Linked DNA regions of Rattus norvegicus. The protein of the gene in region 4 interacts with the protein of the main gene of each other region in a pairwise test. Links are inferred from orthologs where the notes say so. Each region holds a gene or a part of one and is shown on either strand. Other genes may lie near its edges.

Evidence for each region.
Region 1: the proteins of Tasor2 (region 4) and Ldoc1 interact in binary tests that used the Homo sapiens proteins (3 or more experiments, as listed by UniProt). The two-hybrid records come from large-scale screens. The link is inferred for Rattus norvegicus from reciprocal best matches to the Homo sapiens genes TASOR2 and LDOC1.
Region 2: the proteins of Tasor2 (region 4) and Klhl40 interact in binary tests that used the Homo sapiens proteins (3 or more experiments, as listed by UniProt). The two-hybrid records come from large-scale screens. The link is inferred for Rattus norvegicus from reciprocal best matches to the Homo sapiens genes TASOR2 and KLHL40.
Region 3: the proteins of Tasor2 (region 4) and Nek6 interact in binary tests that used the Homo sapiens proteins (3 or more experiments, as listed by UniProt). The link is inferred for Rattus norvegicus from reciprocal best matches to the Homo sapiens genes TASOR2 and NEK6.
Region 5: the proteins of Tasor2 (region 4) and Prkab2 interact in binary tests that used the Homo sapiens proteins (3 or more experiments, as listed by UniProt). The link is inferred for Rattus norvegicus from reciprocal best matches to the Homo sapiens genes TASOR2 and PRKAB2.
Region 6: the proteins of Tasor2 (region 4) and Erh interact in binary tests that used the Homo sapiens proteins (3 or more experiments, as listed by UniProt). The two-hybrid records come from large-scale screens. The link is inferred for Rattus norvegicus from reciprocal best matches to the Homo sapiens genes TASOR2 and ERH.

Annotation. Positions count from the first base shown.
Region 1 is NC_086039.1:145,000,564-145,004,566, reverse strand, and holds the start of Ldoc1 (protein LDOC1 precursor), read right to left. Parts: upstream 2,801-4,003; 5' UTR 2,725-2,800; intron 1-2,724. UniProt on the Homo sapiens protein: May have an important role in the development and/or progression of some cancers.
Region 2 is NC_086026.1:130,317,415-130,321,592, reverse strand, and holds the start of Klhl40 (kelch-like protein 40), read right to left. Parts: upstream 2,801-4,178; 5' UTR 2,715-2,800; coding exon 1,563-2,714; intron 783-1,562; coding exon 622-782; intron 324-621; coding exon 216-323; intron 115-215; coding exon 1-114. UniProt on the Homo sapiens protein: Substrate-specific adapter of a BCR (BTB-CUL3-RBX1) E3 ubiquitin ligase complex that acts as a key regulator of skeletal muscle development.
Region 3 is NC_086021.1:42,692,815-42,696,793, reverse strand, and holds the start of Nek6 (serine/threonine-protein kinase Nek6), read right to left. Parts: upstream 2,801-3,979; 5' UTR 2,705-2,800; intron 2,698-2,704; exon of another isoform or gene 2,500-2,697; intron 2,427-2,499; exon of another isoform or gene 2,403-2,426; intron 2,276-2,402; exon of another isoform or gene 2,254-2,275; intron 1-2,253. UniProt on the Homo sapiens protein: Protein kinase which plays an important role in mitotic cell cycle progression. Required for chromosome segregation at metaphase-anaphase transition, robust mitotic spindle formation and cytokinesis.
Region 4 is NC_086035.1:71,503,422-71,507,621, forward strand, and holds the start of Tasor2 (transcription activation suppressor family member 2), read left to right. Parts: upstream 1-1,400; 5' UTR 1,401-1,668; intron 1,669-1,788; exon of another isoform or gene 1,789-2,221; intron 2,222-4,200.
Region 5 is NC_086020.1:187,944,840-187,948,808, reverse strand, and holds the start of Prkab2 (5'-AMP-activated protein kinase subunit beta-2), read right to left. Parts: upstream 2,801-3,969; 5' UTR 2,645-2,800; exon of another isoform or gene 2,555-2,644; intron 2,427-2,554; 5' UTR 2,402-2,426; coding exon 2,249-2,401; intron 1-2,248. UniProt on the Homo sapiens protein: Non-catalytic subunit of AMP-activated protein kinase (AMPK), an energy sensor protein kinase that plays a key role in regulating cellular energy metabolism.
Region 6 is NC_086024.1:106,019,722-106,023,968, forward strand, and holds the start of Erh (enhancer of rudimentary homolog), read right to left. Parts: upstream 2,801-4,247; 5' UTR 2,704-2,800; coding exon 2,701-2,703; intron 1,810-2,700; coding exon of another isoform or gene 1,753-1,809; intron 203-1,752; coding exon 115-202; intron 1-114. Other genes in the region: Slc39a9 (zinc transporter ZIP9), read left to right, coding at 3,817-3,912. UniProt on the Homo sapiens protein: May have a role in the cell cycle.

The DNA.
Region 1 (4,003 bases), on a different chromosome or scaffold from region 4:
AATGAGAAAATAGAATTTAACATGAAAAAATATGTGAACCAACATTTCCAAAGAGAAAATGCACCAATAGAAATCACTGGTGAAGATGCAGAATATCATGAAGTTCTAGGAAAAAAGAGGGTGAAACTTCGAGATACAGCCCTGCCAGATAAACAAGAAAATAGTAAGGAAAATGTGAAAATGTCACGTGCCAGTAAGGGCACACAGAATTGGCATTAACACACTGATGCTGGAATGGAAAATTATACAAACTGAAAATGGCAGGAAAAAAAAATACCATCATACTGTATATGTCCATTTTCTTTTAAAGTACTTTTGTTAGTTATTTAAGTTCATACAAGTTGAGCATATTCACCACTGTCTCTTCTAAAACCATCCAGATTCATGCCCTTTGTCCTGCCCACCGAACTTTGTGGGGTTTTGGTTTGGTTTTGTGTTTGGGGTTTTGTGTTTTGTTTTTAACTCATCCAGTCTGCTTTGGGTTATCTTTATATTCTTGGGTATAGGGTCATCCATTAGACTTTAAGCCACACCCTTAAGCAAAACTGATGCTTCCTTTTTTAGAAGCCATCAACTGACAATCGTCTTCACATAGATGTGAAATATACCCACCTCTTCTCCCCGTGGTGAAATTCTGTTGGGCTTGAACTTACACGGGTTGTATACATTCAGTGACTGTGGGTTTCATGTGAAACCACATAGTTGTTCCCAGAAAGTACTGTTTCTTTGTCCTTATCCACATTGACAAGCTCTAACATTCTTTTTCACTCCTTCTTCTGCAATAATCCCTGACTTGGGTGAAGAGGTATGATTCACTTATCATATTTGGGCTGAGAATTCTGTAGTTTATTACTCTAGTGCACCGGAGCTGCTTTTAGTTCTTTATGTTAGCACCATTTACTTCAAAAAGAAGCTACTCCGATGACGGTGATGAGGGTTGAACTACCCACAAATCTACTAGCATAGTGCTAAGTTTTATACTAACACTGTGTCCATTTAGCAGAATAATAATAGCAAATTCTTCCCTAGGGACTATGAATTACCTGATCAAAAGTTCTTGCCCTCAATAATTGTGCTAGTTATGTGTTTCATCTTGTGGAACAGGCCTTAAATGAAAAAAAATAGTTTACTACATTTAAAATATCCATGCCACCATTGTACAACTGAGTTAGTTACTGATTATTTTTCCATTCTGTTAACGTACATAGCACCTTTCAGCAACATGGAATTTATCCAGTAAGAATGAAGCTATCAGATGGATACCAGTTTGACTTCTTTCTGTTCTATGACTCAAGTATGCGGTGTCATCAGAAATAAGGTCTTACTGTCAAGTTCTGGAGGATAACCAAGAGCAATATCAATAGCATTTAATAGTTGGAGGTCTATGGGACTTCACTGGCTAACAGCTCCAATATATGTGGGAATAGGTTTCCATATGACTTTGTACATAGATCTTTTGTTATTGTTCTATGTATATATTCTTCTAACCAGTTTACCCATCTCCCACCTTATTCATTCCTCCTATTTCACTATTCCCTTTTCTCCCTTTAAATGATTGCATCATTTAATTGGTCCCTTAAAAGCATCCTATGCCCCACCATATGTCCTTACTAGTTTCCTGACTTCCATGGGCATTTCAAAATAAATACACAAATCTGAAGATGCAAAACTAGCATCTGCAACAAGTAAAAGCAATCAACATTTGTCCTTTGGGGAGGAGGGTGTCTGTTTTACATCATTCAGAATGATTGTTTTCAAATACATGCATTTACCTGAAAAATTCAACTTTAGTATTCAATGGGTGAATGGTATTGCATTGTATAAATGTATTATATTTTTACCATCCATTCATTGGTTGATGGACATCTGGGAGTTTCCATTTCTGGTTATCATAAATACAGAAGCATTGAACATGAATGAGACAGTGTCTCTTTAGTAAGATATAGGGTTCTTTTGGTATATGCCCAAGCAGTAGATTAATTTCCAGTGTTTTGAGGAACTCTACACTAATTCCACAGTGAACACACTGATGAATAACTTCAACAAGTAGTGAACAAGTGCTTCCTTTCCCCAAATCCCTACAAGTATTTGTCATCACTTGCTATTTGTATCTTAGTCATTTTGACTGAAGTAAGAGGAAATTTGAAAGTAGTTTTACTTTGCATTTCCCTAATGGCTAAGGATGTTGACCATTTAACAAAATGTCTCCGTCATATTCATTTCATCTTTTGAGAGCTCTTTGTTTAATTTTACGCCCCATTTTTTACTTACATTGTTTGTTTTCTTGATGTGTAGTTCCTTGTTTACTCTAAATATTAACGTGTCAGATATATATGTTGTTGAAAATTATAAAAATAAAATGCTGTCTTATACCCTCTCTAGGTCCGGCACCACAGTACCCCCAAGATATCTGATAGATATCCCAAACTCAGTCAGCAAAGCGTCTCACCTGCTCTGCTGCATCCCATATCACACTGCCGAAGGCCTCTCTGAGCCTGGAAGAAATCTCTCTACCTATCTAGGTCCCAAGGCAGGTTTCCATGCCAGAAACACACATCCCAACTCCATGTCGACCCAGACAAGCCGCCCCACACTTCCTTACATTTAAATCTACACATGAAAGATGATACAACACAATAATTTTTGATCCAATTGATAAAATACAATTGCCCACCTAAACATACAAAGCCCATTACACATCCATCCCTTAAGAACATATATAACCTGCTGAGGTACAGCGTGGAATCTAAACACAGGCTTCCAAATTGTTCTGCCGCGGCTTCGCTCCTCTCTCCTCCCCTCTTCCGTTTCTGTCTCCTCCTCTTCCTTCAAAACTTTCTCCCGCCCATCCTTCCTTTTCGTCCAATGACAGGCCTCATTCTATCTTGTACCTGCCTCACCAGTGACATCATCCCACATACATAATTGTTAAAGTTTTTCCCATTCTAAAGGCTGCCTCGTTACTTAAGTGATAGTGTAGTGTCTTTTGTTTTACAGAAGCGGTCTAGTTCATGAGTTACCATGTATTAATTGGATTTAATGTATTAACTACTGGGGAAAATGCATTCCTGTGTCAGTAAATTCAAGTATAATCCAAATATTTTCCTCTACCAGATTCAGACTATCAGGTTTTATGCTGAGGACCTTTATCCACTTGTAGCTCAGTTTCAAGCAGATTAACAGATAAAGATATAGTTTACACTCTCTATGAATAGCAAGAGAAACTAGAAGAGATAATATCAGCTCCGTATCCTACAACAAAAAACAATAAATGGAATTAGAACCGAAGGGCAACGTGATTATTAGAGAAATGAAAATACTCTAAAGTTGAGGTTAACTTCTCATTGTATAATTTTGTAAATTTGTTGGAAATGTTAACTATATGTTTACTGTAGGTAAATATTTTGGCTAACAGCACAATAAAATTGTTTTACTATCAAGCTATGCAATCAAATTATTGTTCATTTCTTTTTTTTTTATTAACTTGAGTATTTCTTATATACATTTCGAGTGTTATTCCCTTTCCCGGTTTCCGGGCAAACATCCCCCTCCCCCCTCCCCTTCCTTATGGGTGTTCCCCTCCCAACCCTCCCCCCATTGCCGCCCTCCCCCCATAGACTAGTTCACTGGGGGTTCAGTCTTAGCAGGACCCAGGGCTTCCCCTTCTACTGGTGCTCTTACTAGGATATTCATTGCTACCTATGGGGTCAGAGTCCAGGGTCAGTCCATGTATAGTCTTTAGGTAGTGGCTTAGTCCCTGGAAGCTCTGGTTGCTTGGCATTGTTGTACTTTTGGGGTCTCGAGCCTCTTCAAGCTCTTCCAGTTCTTTCTCTGATTCCTTCAACAGGGGACCTATTCTCAGTTCAGTGGTTTGCTGCTGGCATTTGCCTCTATATTTGCTGTATTCTGGCTGTGTCTCTCAGGAGCGATCTACATCCGGCTCCTGTCGGTCTGCACTTCTTTGCTTCATCCATCTTGTCTAATTGGGTGGCTGTATATGTAT
Region 2 (4,178 bases), on a different chromosome or scaffold from region 4:
ATGCGGCCATCATGGACGGTGGCCCCAAAGAGTGAGCGGGCTGTCTTCATGGGTGCTAGCTCCTTCCACTCAAACTTCTTGGGGTCGTAGACACACATCTTGTTCAGACATTTCCTGTGGGGTAGATGGGGTGAGTGAAGACAGAGGCTGGGGTGGGGGACAACTGTCTGCCCCTCAGCCACACAGAACCTCCTCGCCACCAGGCTAAACCTCACCTGTCTTTGCCTTTGCCGCCAATGACATAGACAAGGTCCATGTGTGAAAGCACGGAATGGCCGTAAACCGCATAGGGCAGCGGGTCTGACTCACCCCATTTGAATGACCTGGAGGAACGAGAGAGCCCGGAGTGCAGCTTAAGCTCCTGTGGAGTCTGGCTCTCCGAATTCACACCCACGACACACACCCAGACTGCGTTGGGTACATTCCCCTCCCCTGAGCTCTTGGGCCTTCGAACCAACCCACCTACTCCTCTGCTCAAGGACTATTTTCAGGTCTTCACCCGATGGCCGTGCACCTGTGCAGGCCTCCTGGCTGCTACTGTGGTCCTAGCCCCACCCTATGGCCTCTGCCCCAGACCATCCTGTCCCCCAAGGTGGCCCCAACCCCTGCACACACACTCACAGCCTGTCGTAGCACAGGACTGAGTCCAGGCTGTCTTCGCTGTCCTTGAGCTCCCGGCCGCCGACCACGTAGATGGCATTAAGAGCCTCCCCCAGGCCGAAGAGGCAGCGAGGTGAGGGGAGAGGCGGCATCCCCAGCCACTCAGAGTCCAAGTGGTCAAACTGTGGGCGGGCAGTATCTTTGGGTCAGCCCTTTCCCCCACCCCTTAAAATCTATAGCCTTCCATCCCACCATCTGTGTCTGCCTAACCCAGTGGTTATAAGTACAAGGGGCCCACCTCAGAGAGTTGTCCAGTAGCTGCATGGTATGGATAGACACTTGATACCATTTAACTTCAGAAACTTCTCCCAGACGGCCTGGGAGAGCTGCCCCTCACCTCCTCCAGCTGTGGGGCCTGTGGACTTGACCTTAGCACCCAGCTGCTTATCAGCCCCTGGCTGCCTATACCAGCTCACCTGGCCATCGTGACAGGGTTGTCTGTCTGGGTTACCAACAGTGTTAACTCCCTCCCCTCCCCCTTCACATCTCTGGATTTCACCCAGCTGACAAGGCTCAAAACCACAGGTCAGGCTGTAGATTCTCCTTGCCTCTGAGCTCTCACAGTGGCATCCTCAACCTGGACTGGCTCACCTGCCTCCCAGCCCCTGCTGAGACTCAGTTTCCTGCCCTGGAAAGGAGAAAGCAAGGTGCTCTCTGTGTGATAATCTGTTCCCCACCCGGTCCTGGCACTTCTGCCAAAGCCCTGTTTATTGATTCTTTGCACTTGTCTCTGACCCTCCAACCCCTCCGCTGGGCCTCTTTGGAAACTGGCTGTAACTCTTTCCCCTTCAAGCAACTGGCTGCCAATCAAAGGTCCTAGATCCAATGACAGACCCCCAAGTAGACGCAGGCCCTTCCCAGAACCCAGCACTAGTCCCTCCCTCCCAAGGCAGGCCAGGCACCTGCAGGAAGTAAGCACTCATAGGGTCTTCCTTGTTGTCCTCGTTGTAGAAGAGGCCACCGGCCACGAAGACTTGGTTCTCCTTGGTCACGAGACTGACATGGTTTTTGGGGATCTGGGTGGACAGGGATGCACAGTAGCACTCGTTGGCAGCTGGGTCGTACGCCACAGCGCCCTCCTCGCTGATCATGAAGATGAGATCCTGCAGGAACATGCCGAAGCGCAGAGTATCATTGAGTATCCCGGGCAGCACTCGTTCCTCATCATCCTCAGCCTTGGTGTCTTCTGTGCCCTGGTTGGCCTCCTTGGTCCGAGCTGTCTGCTCACCCTTCTCCTTCTTTTTCTTGCGCAGCGTAGTGAGGCGGCCCTCGTGTGCGTCCTTCACCATCTGTACCTTGCGCAACAGCTCAGGCTGGGAGCGCACAAGTGGGTGGCGCTCCACGCGGCTCTCCAGGAAAGCACGAGGCAGCAGGCGGCAGCGAATGCTCTCGAAGACCGTGGGCAACGCACGCTGGTGCTCGGCCTGCACATCGGCATCGCCGCTGCTGGCCCAGCGCATCACAGCCTCGAACACTGCCTCCTCCTTCTCCACGTTGAGGCCATCGCTGGAGATGATGGCGATCAGCTCATCAGCTGAGAGTCCCAGGAAGTCGTTGTCGCGTGCCACCAGCGGGAAACGTGCGCAGATGAAGTCGCGCGCGGCCACAGCTAGACGCGCACAGTCCAGCAGGAGGCCGAGGCGGAAGACAGCCAGGCAATTAGCCAAGCACAGGCGCTTCTGCAGGAACGACACGCAGATGGTGAAGATGGACGGGATCTGGAATCGATGCGCCGCGGCAAACAGGTCCTGAACGCTTGCCTCGTCCAGCGCGATCTCCGATGTGTACAGGTAGTGCAGCACCTGGGACACTACATCAGGCGACACCTCCTCCAGGCGTAGCTCTCCCGCGCCATCTGGCTCAGCCAGGAAACGCGCACGGAAGTAGGGGCTGCAGGCAGCCAGCACCAGGCGGTGGCACGGGAACTCGCGCTCACCCACACGCACTACGCAGTCCAGGAACTTGCCGTGGTCCAGCATGTCCTTGAGGCCATCCTGCAGGAGCGTCTGCTGGTACAGACGCTGCTCCTCCGCCTGCTCCAAGCCCAGCGTCATGGTGCGGCTCTCTGGAACTCAGCAAGTCTGTTTGTCAAGGGCTGCCCTGCACACCTCTGCTCTCCTGTGGGGCAGTGCACTGACTGTGCAGCTGTCTTCTCTGGGCTATATATAGAGGATGCCTGGACCCTGTAAGAGGAGCCGCCTGGCCTCCTGCAAATGACTCACAGGGGACAGCTGAGCAGAGGCTTTCTCCCTGAGCAGCCTTGAGTCAGAGATAGGGGATCATGGGGCGAGGGTGGGGTGTGTCTGGACCTTTCCACAACTGGAAGGTCTCTTAGCCCAGCACACAGGAAAGCTTTGTCTCTGGATTCCTTAGTCCAGAAATGTGGCTACCCACGAAGGGGACTGTAGCCACCCCTGGTTACAGTATGTTTGGTTTCCTGCTTGGTGAACATGCCTTTGTCCTTGGCAGTCTCTGTTTAGAGACCCAAAATGGGAAGGAGTTTCCTCTGCCCAAGCTCAGTAAGGGTAGGTGTTTCTCTGTTGGGCCTCAGTTTCCTTTCCCATTCAAGGAGGGAGAGGAGCCAGAATCCAAGGGTCTCAGCTCAGCTCTGCTAAGGGCAAGAGACCCTGGGGTAGCTGCAGGGTGGACTCAAAGGTGTCAAGCCTGCTAGAAAATTAATTTCCTAGGATTCTACTATTGGGGTGGGAGTGGGGGTGAGGATAGACCTAAATTTTAATATTCTAATAGCATTCTGAATTTTAGTGTCCAAATGGTGGAACTTCCAAGAGTCTGATTACTGCTCAATAACTCTGTCCCATTGTCCTCAATCTGTGTGAGATTTACCATGTTTCTCCCTGGCCTTGGGGGCCCCGTAGCTGTCGTCTGTGATTTGAGGAGTTGAGAAGTTGAGCCAGGATACCCAATCTCAATCCCCACTTTGCTCTGGACTCCTGTCCATCCCCCAAATTTACACATGGGCTTCAGCCTCCAAGATTAACGAATTCTCCAAGCGCCAAAAGCTGCAGCTGTGGGTTAAATTTAGCCCTGGGACACTGGTAGGAGGTGTAATGGAGCGCTCCCCAACCATGCCTCTGAGTCACTTGTTTATAACCTTGGGCTTGTGGGGGTATAGGAGAAAAGACCTGGGGGGAGGGCTGAGTCACACATCCCTCCTGTGATTCCAGAAACATTACTGCCTGTCCCTCCTGAGTAGTGACGGTCAGGTCACTCAGTCCTAGAGGGGCATGTAGCTGGACAGAGGTATGCTGCCCACCTTTCTGCAACTTCAAGGGCTAGCTTAGGGCGGGCTGGGAGGGTTTCCATGACAGTTCTGGACAGTGGGACATTCCTCGGAAACATTACCAGCAATTCGCTGGGTCCACACGGCTACTACATGTGGTACAAAAATGTCTGTGATCACAACCTCACTTTCCAAGGACCTGAACAGAAGACGGTGACAATAGAATTGGTTCCTAACCGCCTTGACTTAATGTCATATTTTGGGTTTTTGGCAGACT
Region 3 (3,979 bases), on a different chromosome or scaffold from region 4:
CCTACAAGGTCAGAGGCTGGGCTTTTCCTGGGGCCGAGTCCAGGTTTGTCTCCAACCAGTATCTATGTGTTTATTTAATCAATTTATTTATTTAAATGGAGTCTTGGTGTATAATCCTGGGACACCTGGTACTTGCTATGTAAGTCCAGGCTGGCCCAGAACTCAAAGCAATCCTCCTGCCTCAGCCAGGATTATGGGCGTGGGCCACCACACCTGGCTGTAACCCATATCTAATCTTGAATGATTCACCAAGTCCTCCACCCTCACCTCCCTCTTTGGTCCAACCTGAGGGAGAGAAATAGTATTCTCCCTGGGACAACAGTTTGGGCATCCTTGGCACTTGAAAAGACTGTGTATTACCTTCATTCTGGTGGCTCGGTAGACTTGGGAGGACCTCTCCCCAAATTCTGGAACCAGGCAGGCCTGCAGAACCTGGCCTGTTATAAATCACTGAGCTTTATAACATGCTAGAAGAGCAAAAACACAATAAAGGTAGCCAGCCGGTGTGCCTCAAGTTAAGGAAGCCGGTCCTAGAATCCTGACTTTGCCATTTATCAACTTACCTAGATTTTACAGACTCTGTCCAGACAAGTCTGGGTTCAAAATCTGGGTGTACTGCCACTCTATAGCCTATGTCCCAGTTTCATCATCTATAGAATGGACACCATAACAGTTCTCATCTTACAATGTCGGTGGGAACAAGAAAAAATAACTTCAAACCTTGTGTACCAAGCCCAGCACCGGGCACATCCTCAATAATGGTGGACATGGGTCATGGTGCTACTTCCTCAGAACTCTGCCAGTCAGTTCATCTCCCCTGGTGTCTGTTTTCTCAGATAATAGAGACAATAACCTCCAACTTACAGGTGAGTCCTAATGAGGACATGAGTGTTCAAGTCCTCAGTGCCCAAGCTGTGCACCTTAGGAAGTCAAATGTCAAGTCTTGGGCTCAGTGAAGGAGGAAGGCCTAGAAGGCAGGCAGGTGGCTCAGACTTTGGCCACCACCCTCTCTCTCGTGGCCTGGGACACATTTGATCTTTCTATGATTCAGATGCCTTGGGCACAAACCCAAAAACAGAATGGAATACCAGGAGAGTTAAGGACCCCCAGAACCTCTCTCAGCACACAGTCTGTAAAGGATCCAACTCCTTTCCCTCCTCCTTTCCCGCACCATGTGCCACCTGGAAAGGTCAGCATCTCCATTTCTGGGAACCTAAACGGCTCTAAATCCTGGCCGGTCAACACTTAAGTCTGAGACTTGGGCTTTTTAAAGACAGCAAATGACTTTTGTAGTCATCTCTGAAGCAGACGGGGCTCGGAGGCTTACAACCACAGGGACCATTTTAAATCCCGGGCCTTTTCTTCTGGGAAGTTAGGCAAGAACCTTCCCAAATGTTTGCCGTGGGGCCCTCTGCCAGGGAGTGACTCACTCCTCCGCTCCCCACAGGCATATTTTATTTGGGGGTGGGGGATCCAGGGAGAGCCTGGGCCTGATGGGGGAGGGGAACAGTTTCAACACATCCAGAAGGTGGGGATATTTTTTCTTCTCCAGTTTTCAGGACAAAGAGGAAAAAAAAGAACGTGGGTCTTTTTTGTTTCCTTCCAGGTTTTGTGTGCTGAAAGATGATGTCCAAAGTTCACTGGTTAAGTTCCTCCTGTTGGGAGTCAGGCACCCATTCAATGAAATTCTTCTCCCATTAGCAACAGGGTTTTTAACATGCCCTTTTACACACACCAGACTCCTGTGAGGACATTTTCCCCTCAATAAGTCAACCTGTAGTTTGCAAGTGGTGTAAAACTCTGAACAGAAACTTTCTAAAGTTTGCTTTAAAGCCGTTGAAACTTTCAAACACACACGCACAAACTGTCAATCAAAACGTCACGAACAGCCCTTAAGGATGTGTCCCAAGCGTGCTGTCACCCATTTGTTACTGCCTCTGGGGCTCAGATAAATCAGGGGAATATGATTAACTTAGAGGAGCAGGCAGAGAGAGCAAGTATCTAGGGCCCTGGGTCTCCCTAGGGCCTAACCCCTAGATATGGGGGGCAGAGTCTAAATCTGGCCTAGCTAGAAACAGCCACGAACAAAGCCAGGGAACTAAGACGTATTTAGAAAACCTCAATTCAAGTGCAGCGCAGCCCCCTCCTCAGCCTGCGTGGCCATGCAGAGTTCTGCCAAGGCCAGACTGAGCAGCTTTCACCAGAATCAGAACCTGGGGGATCTGCGTGTCTGTCCCAGGGTCCCAGACTCACGGAATCCGACCCAGCACCGTCTCCGGACAGGGTCAGCCGACACCTCACACACACACTGGCCTGCAGTGTGGAGTGCTCAGCCTGGATCCTAAACACACACTCGTATGGAATTTGTACACTTTTGCCCGTGCACGTGTGCACACACTCACTCGGGAACGTTCAGACACGTGGGCACACGTACTCCTTGGCATCCACAGTAAACACACGATAAACCGATAAACCGAAGCGAAGCCAGTCCACACGCACCGGTCCACCCCAAACTCACAGTCGGGGCCCCTGATGTGCACACGCACGCACTCCCGCGCAGCGGGGCGGATGGAGCCCGCCGCAGATACCTCGGCCTCCTGCGGGCGTCCCCGCCGACTCCCCGGGCACGCGCGCGCGCCCACAACGCCTCGGGTAAAGGCCCCACGCCCTGGCCCGCGCCCCTCGCTGGTCCCAGGCCACTCACCGGCGCTGGCGGCTCTCTCGGCGGCGGGCAAGCGCGAGTCGCACGCGAATTGGCGGCGCTGCGGCCGCAGCTAGTCCGCCGGGTTCAGCCGCCGCTTCTGCGCGCGTCCGCGCGCCCGCCCCTCCCCGCCGCGGGGCCGCGCCGCCCCCTGCGCCGGTGCGCGCGGCCGCCACGCAGGCTAGGGGGCGCCGGGGGCGCGCTCCCAGCCTGGGTGCTTAATCGTCCAGCCCAGGTTGGAAGACTGAGGCTCAGACTCCAAATCCTGGCCACTGAACCCCTCTGCGCGGGCTCTAGACTCTATAAGATGCAGATTCGCTGGGTAACCAACTTGTGGACCCTTCCCCACACCCATGAATTCCCCATCAGCCGACATTGCTCCTATCACAGCCCTTGCAGGACTGAAATTGACCCATCCAACAGAGTGGAGAAGAAGGTGCAGTTCAGTTGATAGAATGCTTTCTTAATCTCAGCACTAGGGAAATTAGGTACCTGTCATCCCTGACTACGAAGGCTGAGGCAGGAATGTTTGAAATTCATTCATTCTTGGCTATTTAGCAAATCTCAAGCCAGTCTGGGCTTCATGAGACTCTGTCTTAAAAAAAAATTAGCATGAACAATAGTACAAAAAGTGTACAAATAGTGCTCAATACAGTTACAAAAGTAGGCCCCTAGGATAAATCCAAATCCCTGTCTCCAAAGCGCTAGTATCTCCTGGGGATACTGCTTTCCTGAGAGTCCCAGGCCAGCCAAGCATCAGGGTGCAGAAGGTTCTAGAAGGAGTAAGCGGCTCCACTAGGGGCCAGCCACATACCCTGGGGACTGGGTGGGGAGTACCTGAGTTTGATCTTCCAGACCCACACGAAGGGAGGAAAGAACTCTAGCAAAGAACTCTAGCAAATTGCCTCTAACCTCCACATGTCCTCCAAATGCACACGGAATGGCGTGGTTTTTTTTTTTTTTTTTTTTTGTTTGGTTGGTTTTTTTGTTTGTTTGTTTTTGTTTTTGTTTTTTTGGTTCTTTTTTTTCGGAGCTGGGGACCGAACCCAGGGCCTTGCGCTTCCTAGGCAAGCGCTCTACCACTGAGCTAAATCCCTAACCCTTTTTTTTTTTTTAAAGCCTTCATCTATGAATACTTAACAACCCCATTAGGATGTCTGGAGACCCTCACTTCCCCTCAAGAAAGGTTGCTCCTGGTTGGGACAGGTATTGCCGCTTCTGATTCTTTTAGACTGTCTGTGTCCCCAGAGCACCTTCCAGCTGTCCATTAATCTGCTG
Region 4 (4,200 bases):
ACTGTGGGTGAGGGCTTCAAGACCCTCATCCTAGCTGCCTGGAAGCCAGTATCTGCTAACAGCCTTCAGGCGAAGATGTAGAACTCTTAGTTGGTAGGCATTCTCCTGACCCTTCTTAGCCCTTGGGTAGTGTGTGAATATTCCTTGTTCTTTTTTCACTTTCATAGCAGTCTTACTGAAATCTTGAACACATTTTCACCGGTGAGGTGCTTTGCACTTGACCTCCAAAGTTCATTTGGTCACTTTCATCTTTGGATTTTGATATCCAACATCCCATTTTTGTTAAATCTTTGGTGTTTTCCTTCTGTTCCAGTCTCCCGCCTCCAACTCCATTTACTAGCATTTCATTCATTTTTCACACGTTATTACCTGAAATAACTGTGGCACCTTATAATTTAATGCACCTGTACAATGAACTCAGTGATGAGTAGGGTCCTTCTTTTCCTTGCTCATGACCACGATCTCAGATTTTAATACAGAATTTGCCACATGTATACTAGCCCGTTTAATGATGAAATCTTATCTCTGGGTAACAAAATTTCAACTCACAGCTCAAGGTCCTTGGTACTGTTGAATTTCTCTCCTCGGTACTTATCTGTAGTAAGGATAAGACTTGAATTGTTAATTACGGTGACCCCAACGCTCTTCACGTAGATGATAAACTTCAAATCCGCCTGGGGAACTCCCACAATGAACTTAAGTTTTGTATGGATTTAACATTCAGCAAATTCAAACAGTAGTGACATCTTCCAGTTGGGCTAGACCAACCTGCATTACCAGAGTCACTGGAGATGACCTTCAATTTATAGCTAGTTGATTGTCTTTACTCCAGCCAACTCAGTTTTTTTACTCCGGACTGTACCTAGGCGCTTTAGCTACAAGGGGAGGTTCAAAAGCAAGCAGTTTGACAGAAATTATGTTAGCTGTGACATCTTGGCCTAAAGACCTAAAATAGTTGGGTAATTTTTCATCAAGGAAATCATTTCTAGTTCAACCTAAAATGGCCTCAGCAATGAAACAAGATGGAAGCGTCTCTGTACAATCTCGCCCTGATAGCACCTAATACAGAAAGAGCCGGAAAGCGGCCATGAGCAACCCACAATACACTGGAGGAGGTTCCGGCTGAGGAGCCTCACTTCCTGCTCACGCCTTCTATATCCGGCTGCCTACATCTCGCGAGAAGCCAGGGAAAGCTCGGTCGTCCAATCCAGAGCGAGCTTTGCCCCTCCCGCGCGCCTGCGCATAAAAGAAAAAGCAAGAGCAACGTGGACGCCGGCGGCGGTCGCGCCTGCGCCTTGGCGCGCTCCCCGTGATTGGCTCCCGTGACGCGACCCACGGAGCTTTAGTTTTCACTTTCTGTCTTCTGAGCCCCCTCCCTCTCTCACGGTCCACGAGGTTTCACTTCCGGTTACTGGTGCCGGGGGGGTGCCGGAGGGCGGACGCGTTCCCAGCGCCTGGCTGGTTTCTGAAGCCGCTTCTCGCCCGTGAGACTGAGTGAGGGACCGGAGCGTGCGCGCGCGGCCGGGGAACACCCGGGTTCGTGAGGCGAGGTCCGGAGACGCGGCAGGACGAGGGGCCAGGAGGAGAAAGGGACGGGCTGTTAAAGCATGGGAAGGACACTGAGCTGTGAGCTCAGCTCCTCAGGGAAGGCTGCCTCGCCGGGGACAGGTAACGCTCCCTCAGGGGTCGGGGCGTCCGGGGTGAGGAAGAGCGGGGCACGCGTGGTGATTGAGGGCTGGTGGGCGGGCGGGCAGGGCGACGCGCGGGGCCACTGGGCAGACGCCTCGGTCGCCCGGGACGCGGGGCCCCCATGCTCCGACCTGGAGAGGAGGGTAAGGTTAGACAGGGTCTCCACCGAGCCTGTGGAGGGCGTGGGAATGGGTGTCTGCACTCTGAGGCAGAAAGCCGGGCGCGTTTTGTTTGTGTCACCTGTCACAGGGCAGCTCCATGCCCAAGGGAGGTGATCGGCTCTGCACTGAAGCGTTGCCTTGGTTTGGGGTTGGCCTAGCTCCTCCTCCCCCAGAGGGGTTTTGGGGAAACCCTCAGGTCGGGTTTCTGGATTCCGTAGAATCCAAGGCAACGCATGACAAGGTTTACCCTTCTTTATTACGTACAATGGGCCTTCCCCATATGGAAGAGAGCAGCGGGCTGCAGCCACGTTGAAGGAATGTTGCAGTAGGCTGGTCCCGGCGTTGGTTAGAGGCGAGCCGGCGGGCACTTGGTAGGAAAACGTGGCTTAACTTTGAAAACTGGAGTTGGTTTGAAAGTTCTCGGGTCTCTTAAGTCTCGGTTGATGCGCCTTACTTTAAGCTACTCTCTACTGTACTCTTTCTGAAGGGAAACTTAGAACGGGAAGTCAATCAAAGTCTTTCCTAAACCTGTATAATACAAAAGCACCTGGGGACTCAACAGTGTCCGCCCTCAGAGGAGCAAAAGGAAGGCGGGGTGAATATGTCAGAGTGTAGAATCTGAGATTGTTGGAAAGCCTACCGAAGAGGTTTAGGACAAAGCACATACACCTGATAGTGTAAGCGAATACTCTCGTACTGGAAAATGGTTTGGTAAAGGATAGTTCAGTGTTATCAGTGTACATCAATACCTAGAGAGCCCAAGATAGAAAAAATAAAAGGTAACTGAGTATTTCTCAGTAATTACTATTAAGGACGATGATGTTGGAAGTGTGTTGTCAGTTCGTTTCCTACAATCTTTCAAATAAACATAAATGGCATCTCTTCTAGTCTGTAAACATTTGCTTAAATACATTGAAATTTGAAAACCGCCAGGAAACTTGCCTGGTACTATTTGTTACCTGTAGCATATCCGTTTAGCACAAATATGTTGGACATGTTTATCCGTCGTATCTTGTCAGTGGACATTTTTAAGATTTTTCTTATAAAAATTCTTATACATATATATAAAATGTTTTTCAAAGATGTATTTACTTTATTTATTTGAGTACACTGTAGTTACCGTCAGACACACCAGAAGAGGGCATCAGATTCTATTACAGATGGTTGTGAGCCACCATGTGGTTGCTGTGATTTGAACTCAGGACCTCTGGAAGAGCAGTCAGTGCTCTTAACCGCTGAGCCATCTCTCCAGTCCATAACAATTCTTCAGAGCTGTGTTTTTCACCTGCAGCTGTTATAAACAGGGTTTAGTTGCTGATGATAACTGTTTGTAGAATCAAATTTTTATGATAATGCTAGGCAGTTTGTTAAAAGCCCTGGGATGATTTTACTTTTAAAATTTAATTCCCCTCAGATTTGGTTTTCATTACTCTCCAAGGCCGCACCGGATGGTAACAATGTTTTCTAAACATTTTAACTCATCTAATAATTGAAAAATCATTTTAATTTTTAATCTTTCCTAGTGAATAAGAAAGGAAAACATTTGGGACAGCCCAGTATCCCTTGTTTATGATATTGGGTCTGAACACTCTGCTTTGACCTATTTACAATTACCATACTGTTTTAGTTATGGTAGCTTTATGATATACATTGGTACTTTCTTTTGGGTGGGGGAGACCAGGGAAAGCTCAGGATTCTTCTTTGTTCTTCCAGATAAATCATCTCAATCTCTATAGAAAACCACATTGGGATATTTGTGTTTGCGTTATATAGCTTATTCATTGCATTTATATTCATTTACGAAAAGACTTTATTTTTTCCTTCCAAGAATATATCTTTATTGTGTGTGAAAATGTGTTTACAAAAAAAGCAAGCAGGCTATTTGGCTATTTGTGCACATTGTTAATGAGCATTACAGGAACCTTAGAAATAGATTGTGTGTTTTCTAGAAGGAAAATCTCGCTTGAACTTTCACCGTGATCCTTATTTCATTAAAATATCTTGATCAGTCTTGAACTTAGAGAGTCATACTTTATATTCACATTTTGTTTTGTGTTCCAAAATTTATATTAACAGCATGTGTCTTTGTCCACATTTTTTTTTTAATTGTAACCCAGGCTACCCTTGAACTTGATATGGTAGCAAAGGCTGGAATTGAACTCTTGATCTTCTGATAACTCCTCTAAAATGCTGGAATTACAGACACACTGCCATGCTGCATTTGTGCCATGCTGGTGATTGAGACAGGGCTGTATATTCTAAACAAGCGACAAGCACTAGTCTACATCCCCAGCCAGTTCTTCTACAGTTGTAAAAATACTGCATTACTCCAGTTACATCTATTGATAAA
Region 5 (3,969 bases), on a different chromosome or scaffold from region 4:
TGTAATCTCAGAGCAATGCACTGGGGCTGACAGTTGCATTGGGAATGTTTCCATAAGCCTCAAAACAACCCTCAAGTCTGAGTCCCGCAAAGGATTTTGTGAATATATTTTTTTAAAAAGCCTTCAGGTAACAGCACTCTTATCACGTTACAATAAACAAGGAGAAGCATTTCTTATTTTTCTCTAGGGGGTCAAGTTCTCACTGTGGTCCAGACTGGCAGTGATCCTCCTCCCGCTCTGAAACAGCTGAGATCACAGCTGTGAGGCACCATCATGTCAGCTTTAAACAGTCACCTTTTGAGGTACGTCCTAAAATGTTAGAAATACTACTTGTTGACCTGTTTGAAATCTGTTTCAGAGTGGTTGGTAGGGGAATGGCTTGGATCACAGAGGCACAGTCATTTAATGACCTTTTAGCACCATTTAAAACGGGTGACATATACGTAGTTCATTTCACTGTTCATTTTATAAGTGTGTCAGATTTCCCATAAGGTTTTTAAAGCATTCTTGGGGGATCCGGTCATACAAATAGGACTGAGGAGCACTGAGTAAGACTATTAATAAGCCTGACCTTTGAAACAAAGATGCCCCCAACCCTACTATTCTTATCAATTACTTTTATGACTTAAGGATTTTCAGTTTAGGATTTGAAAACTCCAAACTATTAATATGCCTGGCTTTGGAGCAAAGCCCTTCCACTTATGACATGACATTTCTGTGGTAGGAGTGACTGCAGCTGACTAGCAGAAAAACTGTTTACTGGAGTTAAACCCTCAGCGAAACCATCAGAACAGCAGCAAACCAGCAATTCAAATTACGGCCTGCAAATGTTTAAGGAAATTTAGTGTGGAGAGGGAGAGTACATGGGCTATGAAGTTTTCTGTCTGGGTAAGACATGGGTAATTGTTTGAACTACTTTTCTCATCTCACAGCAAGATGTGAGGGAAAGAATGATCCAGAACAGGCCTAAACGCACACAGAGCAGCCTGGCTCTTATTCAGGACACCAATTACTGCAGTCACAGTTTGACTGTACCCAAATCCTGAGTCATCAATGTAGGAACGAGCAAAAATACACGGCCTGTCTGTCACCCTGGACAAGCTTCGGAGAAGAAAATCTAGGCTGAGTGCAGGGCCCAGATAATGAGGAATCCTAGAGGAGAGGAAACAGGGAAGAGGGAACCCCAAGAAATGGCGTTCTAAATCAGGATCGAAGAAAATATGGTATATAATCCAACATTCATGTGCCATCAAAGCGGTAAATAAAACTCTTGTTTACTATCTTAAGTCTCAGTTCACTGGGGTGAGAAATGTCAAACACACCCCACCACCCCACCCAAAAACCACCCGAAGGCTTTTCTTTTTCACTTCAGAGAGCCGACCAGGAGAAATTAAATGTATTTAACGCTGACATTTCTAAAAGTAATTAGGAACATTAGAGTAGTAATCACACTGCTGTCAGCTCCGTCTGGCTCTTCTTTTGGGTGACCAAAAGTGGCCTCTGGCTGAAAGTCTGTGGAATTGAGAGCAAAAGTCTTCAGGGCATGAGAGGGTGGTTTTGAGCCTCGGGAACATTTTGAAGTACTTCTGAGGAGTGAAGGGAAGTAAGTTGCTCTCCAGGGAAGTGCAGCAAGGTGTGCAAAACGCTCAGCTACATTTTAAAACGGCACTGTTTTTTCCTTTTTTAAAAAAACTGAGCCATTAACCAAATGATGTCCTGTACTGATTCCCAAGACTAGGGGAAAGTATTCAAATAATCAAGTGATGGCTGCTCAGCCACACAACGGTGAACGAGGATGGAGGAGGGATGCAGAGCACTTACGAGAGAGCAAGAACGAGATCTACACTGAGACATTTTCAGGGAGAAGAAACCATCTAGCTATCTTGAGGGCAATTGAGAAACTGAGCTCGTATCAAGAGCTCAGACAATGCACCCTTCGAAGTTTCCACCCGCGCTCACTACCTATTCTTCCTGCAAGCTCTAGAACAGGGCAACCTGCACGTACAACCAAGGATGGGGCGGGCAGGGGATGGGTCTTTGGTACCCGTCCTAAAAGGCTGGCCCACAGATTACTCAAAGCAGCAGGAAAACAACTCCGCGCCTCTATCCTAATTTGAGGTAGTACCTACCAGGAATTAGCACCCAACATTTCTGTCCGCGCACTAGCCTTCTAATTTAAAAGCCCATAACCCTTGAGAATGAGGAAGAACCAAGAAGGGCGGAGCAGCCCGCAGCCCCGCTACCTCACCTTGGAGTCCGGCAGGCTGAAGACGCTGGGGTCGTCGGTGCTTCCCACCATGATCTTGTGCTCCTTGCCGGGGCCATGGCCGCCACCCTCAGCTCGAGCAGCCTTGGCACCGTGGCGCTCCCCGGACACCCGCTCACTGGTGGTGTTTCCCATGGCTGCAGCTCGAGTCCGGGGCAACCTGCCGCGGGGAATGACACCAGGCGGGGAACACCCCCGCGGCCGCGTCAGGAGCGCCCCGGCCCCGCCCCTGCGCCCGGGAAGGGAATCCCCGCCGCAGGAGACCGCGCCCGGGGTCCCCTCCCTTACCCGCTTCACGGACGCCTAAGCTCGGAGAACCGGCTCCAGGAGCCCTCGCTGCCCCACAGCCCGGGTCCCGCACACCCCCACGCCGCTCACCTCTGGCGATGCGCTCCGGGCTCGCGTGGCTACACGCACGCCGGCTGTTCGGCGTACAAGGAGACCAATAAAGTTATTGAAATTGAAGCCGCGCCCCAAGCCAGCGAACCGGGTTTCCTCCTAAAATGGCTACAAGGCCGGCGACGCGGTACCGCCTCTGCCTCTGGCCCCGCCCACAAGGCCTCTTGTTCCACCCCCTGCGCTCCAGCCCCGCCCCCTCCTCAGCCTCGGTCGCCTGCCTCTCTAGCCACCAGCACTTAGGCCACCTCTGTGGTGGGTGCGTGCGCAGCTCCGGCTTGGGGCGGAGCGGAGGGTGGGGTCGGGGTTGGGGCTGGGAACGACCCGCCTAGGTTGTGATAGCTGGGCGCGCCTTGCCTTCCTAAGCATTTTGTCTATCCGTGGCACACGCGCTTATTAGAAAAGCCGAAACCGAGGCCTCTCCGTGCCCTAGGTGCAGAATTAGAACCTGTACTTTATCAAACAACTTGACAGCGGTGCATAGCGGATCCACATTCGAGTGGTTTTCATACTCCGCGTAGACCTCTACAAAGCAACCTCTTTTTAGTTGTTCCAGGAGGTATGAAATAAAGAATGGGACAGAGAATTGACGAGACACGTGATGGCAGGTACTGGCATAAGGCTTACTTCTATGTGGTACCCAGCTCATCAAAGTGGTGTTTGTTCTCTTACTGTGATTAGCTGCGGGGATGCTTGCATACAGCGAAAGAGTGAAGTTTAGTCAAGGAGTCAAAAGGGGAATTGAGAGCACAGGGTAGTCTGGGAAAATATTGAGGGAGTATTGATTTGAAACCAGTCGGCTAGAAGTGAAGACAAAATAGGCTGGTGGAGGGCCCAGTGGGGTCAAAGGACTCTGGATACAGGAGAAGCTGGGTGAGCTGAGACAGTGAGAGAGGTATCCTCTGAGAGTATCGTGTTTGCCACTGAGGTTTCAGTGCTCCTGAAGTCATTAGCATTGGCAGTATCTTAGATCCGATCAAGGGTGTAGATTGATGAGATGAGGCAGACCATAAAGCCATTAGAGTTAAGAAGGTTATAGGGGAGCCTAGTGAGATGCCGCCGTGGTTAAGAGCACACGTTGCTTTTACAGGACACGGGTCTGGTTCCCAGCACCCACAAGGTGGCTCACAACCATCTGTTCCAGGGGATCCAACACCTTCCCGTGCACATACAAACATGCAGGCAAAACACTCAAATACAGATTAAAATTTTTGAAAACTAAATAATAAAAAGGAACAGTGAGATAGCAAAGAGAGTTGGAGGTCTACCTTAACATTGACTCCCTTCCTGCTTACTAAAGCATTGAC
Region 6 (4,247 bases), on a different chromosome or scaffold from region 4:
GAAAGTAGGGGGCAAAAGATTCTCATCCCCACATGCTACTCATCTCCCAAGAGAATGGTATGGTGTGTGTGAGGGACTGAGGACTCCCCTTCATTACCTTCCGTGCTCACTCACCTTCCATGCATTCATTCACAGACTCATAGTCAGCATAAGTCCTGCCTTCTGGCCTCTTGGTAGGCTGTACCAACAAAATGGTGTGAGACTGAAGGGGAAAAACAACTTCAATGAATATCCTAACAAGCAACTCAGAAATTCACGTCATGACATAAGCTCCAACATGACGCAGACAGGTATTATAGTTACTGAAACATAACTAGGTTGCTCATCCTGCAGTACTTCTGTATCAGTGTTGGGTCACAACTCCCTTAACTAAGTCAGTCCTTTACTCTCTGCTGCATCATTTCTCAAACTCCAAATATACCTGCTTCTGTATTTTTCTTACTAACAACCTTTAGAACCTGTTTTCTGTCTCCACTGGCCTCTAGCTCTATTAACTCAATAAAAACTAAGACATGGGGTAATCAAAGGAGAAAGGAAATACTATAATCACTGTATCGACCTAATGTCTTCTCTGACTTGAGCACAACAGTGGAGTCACATTTTATACAGGAGCTATTAAACATCAAGATGTAAGAAAAAGTAACAATATAAAATGTATATAGTAAATACCACACTAAAATCATCCATTGCCTTAAAGGGCCAGCGCATACCCAAATCATTTATCTGTGAATTCAGAGGGACTGCAGGACGCTGAAAGCCTTTCTCCTGCTCACTAGGGAGTGGAGTCAGTTCAGAGTTCTCAGTATATTCTGGGACAGTAATGAGTTCTTTGGGTTTGACATAGGATGTTTTGTGGCATCTTTGGTCTCTACTCACTATATGTCACCAACAACAATTCCCTTCAAAGTAGCAAAAATAAAAAATGTCTTCAAATGAGACAAAGAAGAATCCTGGTCAGCATAATCTTATGTAGTGTCTCCCATGCATTTAAGAATGAATAATTAATTAAACAAATGCTAGCATGATGCAACCCCACTGCAAGCCTAATCCTCAACCAAACTATTCACCTTGTTTTCTTCACTTGCAATACTAGTGTTTGGTAAAAAATAAATTCTTATGTCAGGATGTCCAAACTATTTTGAGACAATCCAAAAATTTAATTATCAACAAATGGAACTGAGAATCTGAGATCTAGGCTATCTGGGTATTAAAAAACAACAAAAAAGTAATTTAAATTTCATATAGCAAGAGAACATTATTATTTCTCCATCCCCAGAGATTTGTGTCATTTTGATTAAGTTTGAGAAGACTTGAGACGAAACCCTAGGTTGGTAACAAAAGAAACTGTAACGATGTAAACAGTGTTTTTTTGGTGATTAATAGGCAGAGAAAGTGGGATTAGTTGTGTAGGGGCTCATAAAAGGCCAGCTACTCAAAAGTTACTTTCAGAATGTCTGTGGTTGAGAAGAAAATTGGTCTCATGGAAACCATATTTACTTTCTTGTAACGGCTCATCCTAGACAACAAGGTAGTCACTCTTTGCCACATTTTTAAATTTTTTAAGGCAAATTAAGGAGTAATTTGAAATAGTAACATTTGAAAAGTAAAAACACACCTGCTCCAAATCTTTCCCCTTTGTTTACTTAAAAGCAGGAGGGCTGGAGTACTGGAGACATGGCTCAGTGGTTAAGAGCACAAGCTGCTCTTCCAAGGGACCGGTTTTCAATTCCCTGCACTCACATGGTCGCTTACAATCACCGGTAATTCCAATCCAGGGGATCGGACGCCCTCTTCTGTCTGCCGCAGGCACTGCATGCAAGTGGCACAAGACATGCAGGCAAAACACCATACACAGAAAAGGAAATCTTTTAAGATCCGAAAAAAGAAAAACGAGAATGTTGATAGCTCATTGGTTAAGAGCACGTGCTACTCTTACAGAGGGCATGCGTTTGGTTCCTAGCACCCACATCCTCCGCTCACAACCGCCTGTTGTAACTCCAGATCCTGGGGATCTCATTCCCTTTTCTAGCCTCCGAGGGCACCTGTGCTAACGTGCAAACAGACACATAACTTAACAAACTAAACAAAAACATTCCTTGTTGGATTTTAGGGCCAGGACCCTGGAGTCTCTTTTTTGGCTCCACTTCCAAGGCAAGATTGAATGCTGACATAATTGCCAAAACAGGGCAAGTAAGGATACTGAAAAAGGGAAAAACTTTTTTCTTTTAAGTTCGGGGGCCGAGGGACGGCTGATGCTGCACACTGCAAAGCAAATCCGAACCCCCAGGCCGACATACGGGAAACAGTAAAGGTGACGGGTGTGTCAGTTTCAGGAAACGTCTGACACACGTTCCCCGGCCATTGTTCCTAGAGTCCGCTAGTGCATCTGAAGAGAAAGAACGGCACCCCACGCCTCCCTCTTACAGGCAGCGATCGGCAGATAGCGTATTCTCAGCCCACCGCACACATCGCCCCCAGCATCAGGGCGCGCAGCCGCAAGTAAGACCAGGTTCGGGGCCTACAGTCAAGGCCCCGCGGCTCAGCGCCGGGAAGGGAAAGGGTCCATCCGCGAGCTGGGGGGAAGGGGGCGGGGAGCAGCTCGCTCGCGCTAGATGGGCAGGGGCGGGAAGGTTGGGAAGATGTATGGAGCAGGGGTGGCCCTGGAAGTTGGGGGACCCCGGCAACCGCTGAGAAACTCACCATCGCGCCAAACGCTTTGCTGCAGCCGCCGATAACACCTCCGCCGCCGCACACGAGCTCAGCCGCAACGCCGCCAACAGCCAATCCCGCGAGAGCCGTCGCCGGAAATCGTCGGAAGCGCGACGCAAAAGAGCCTTTCGGACCATAGAGATTCACACATTTCCGGTTTCTAGAGTGGATACCGACTCTGTTTCAGCCATCTTGGATAAGGGCGCGGAGATGTGTAAGAGAATCTTTCGGAGCTTTAGAAAGAACACTTTGTTTCAGGGTGTTGCCTTCTGTACTTTAATTAACAGATAGGCGGCTAAAGTGATGGGGAATACAACAGCGACACCAGTCATCTCTTTTTAGCCTTTCTAAAAAATGGCGGCAATATAAGGGCCCGGGCCTATAGGTCGGTTGTAACCCGGAAGTGCCCTGCTAAAGAGGAGGCGGCGAGACAATCCGGAAGTGGGAGTAATGAAGAGGTGCCACTTGGCGGCCATGGCAGCTGTAGTATTGGCGGCTCAGGGTCAGGGCCTGGCTGAGGGAAGTACCATGGGTAGCACCGGGTGTAGGACAGAGACAGCGTCGTATCGACTTTGCTGTTGAATCCTCCAGCCCATTGTTAGAGACTTGCAGGACATCTTGCCCGACTCTAGACTCGAAAGGTACTTTGCTGGCACTGGTGGGCTGGTCCCTTCCCTGGGGGCGTATCACCTGCGGTGCCACCCCTGGGAACTGGTACCGCGTGTGGAGAAGACACTTGGGTTTACCTTTTTTTTTCCTGCTGCTACCAGGGACGTTGTCTTGGGGAGCGGGTCGTCGTGTCACCCTCATTCTGACGATTAAGGAGATCTCTTTTTGCACAATTTCTCCATCTGTTACCTACCGGAATCCCAGTGACTGGCAACCAAGTACCTAAGACTGCGCAAAGTTTTCTCTGGTGCTAGTATCAGCAAAAGGAGCTTGCTTCTTAAGAGAGCGGCGGGCTTCATGAACTCACCGGCCGGTGGCAAGGCTGAAAGAAGTGAGGAAATTCCCGTTTTCTTGGAAGACCACACGTTTAAACAGCCCAAGCGCCGTTTGAAACTGGAATTTTAAAGCCTGGTGGAGGGGTGACTACAGGAGGGCAGAATGGATGACTTTCTCTCCATTAGTCTGCTGTCTTTGGCAATGTTGGTGGGATGTTACGTGGCTGGAATCATTCCTTTGGCTGTTAATTTCTCAGAGGTAAGAAATTGTCCGTTTTCTGCCAAGCATTAGGTAGGATGGTGCTAGACATAGTGATATTTGCAAAGAAGCTGCTTCTCAGCTCTAAGGACTCATTAAGGGAAAGATGTAACATTTCACAGTAGAAACAAAGCTCACACTCAGCCCTATAAATCTTAACCAAGAGTGGTGGAAAGATGATACACTGGAGAACCTGGAGTGTTCAGAATCCTCTGAAAATTATACACCCCACCACTACCAAAAGTTGGGGCTCTGCATTTTTCTATAGACAGGAACCACAGTTACATTTCCGGAGGTTTCAAGAAATCAAGATATCAGATAAAACCAAATGGAAA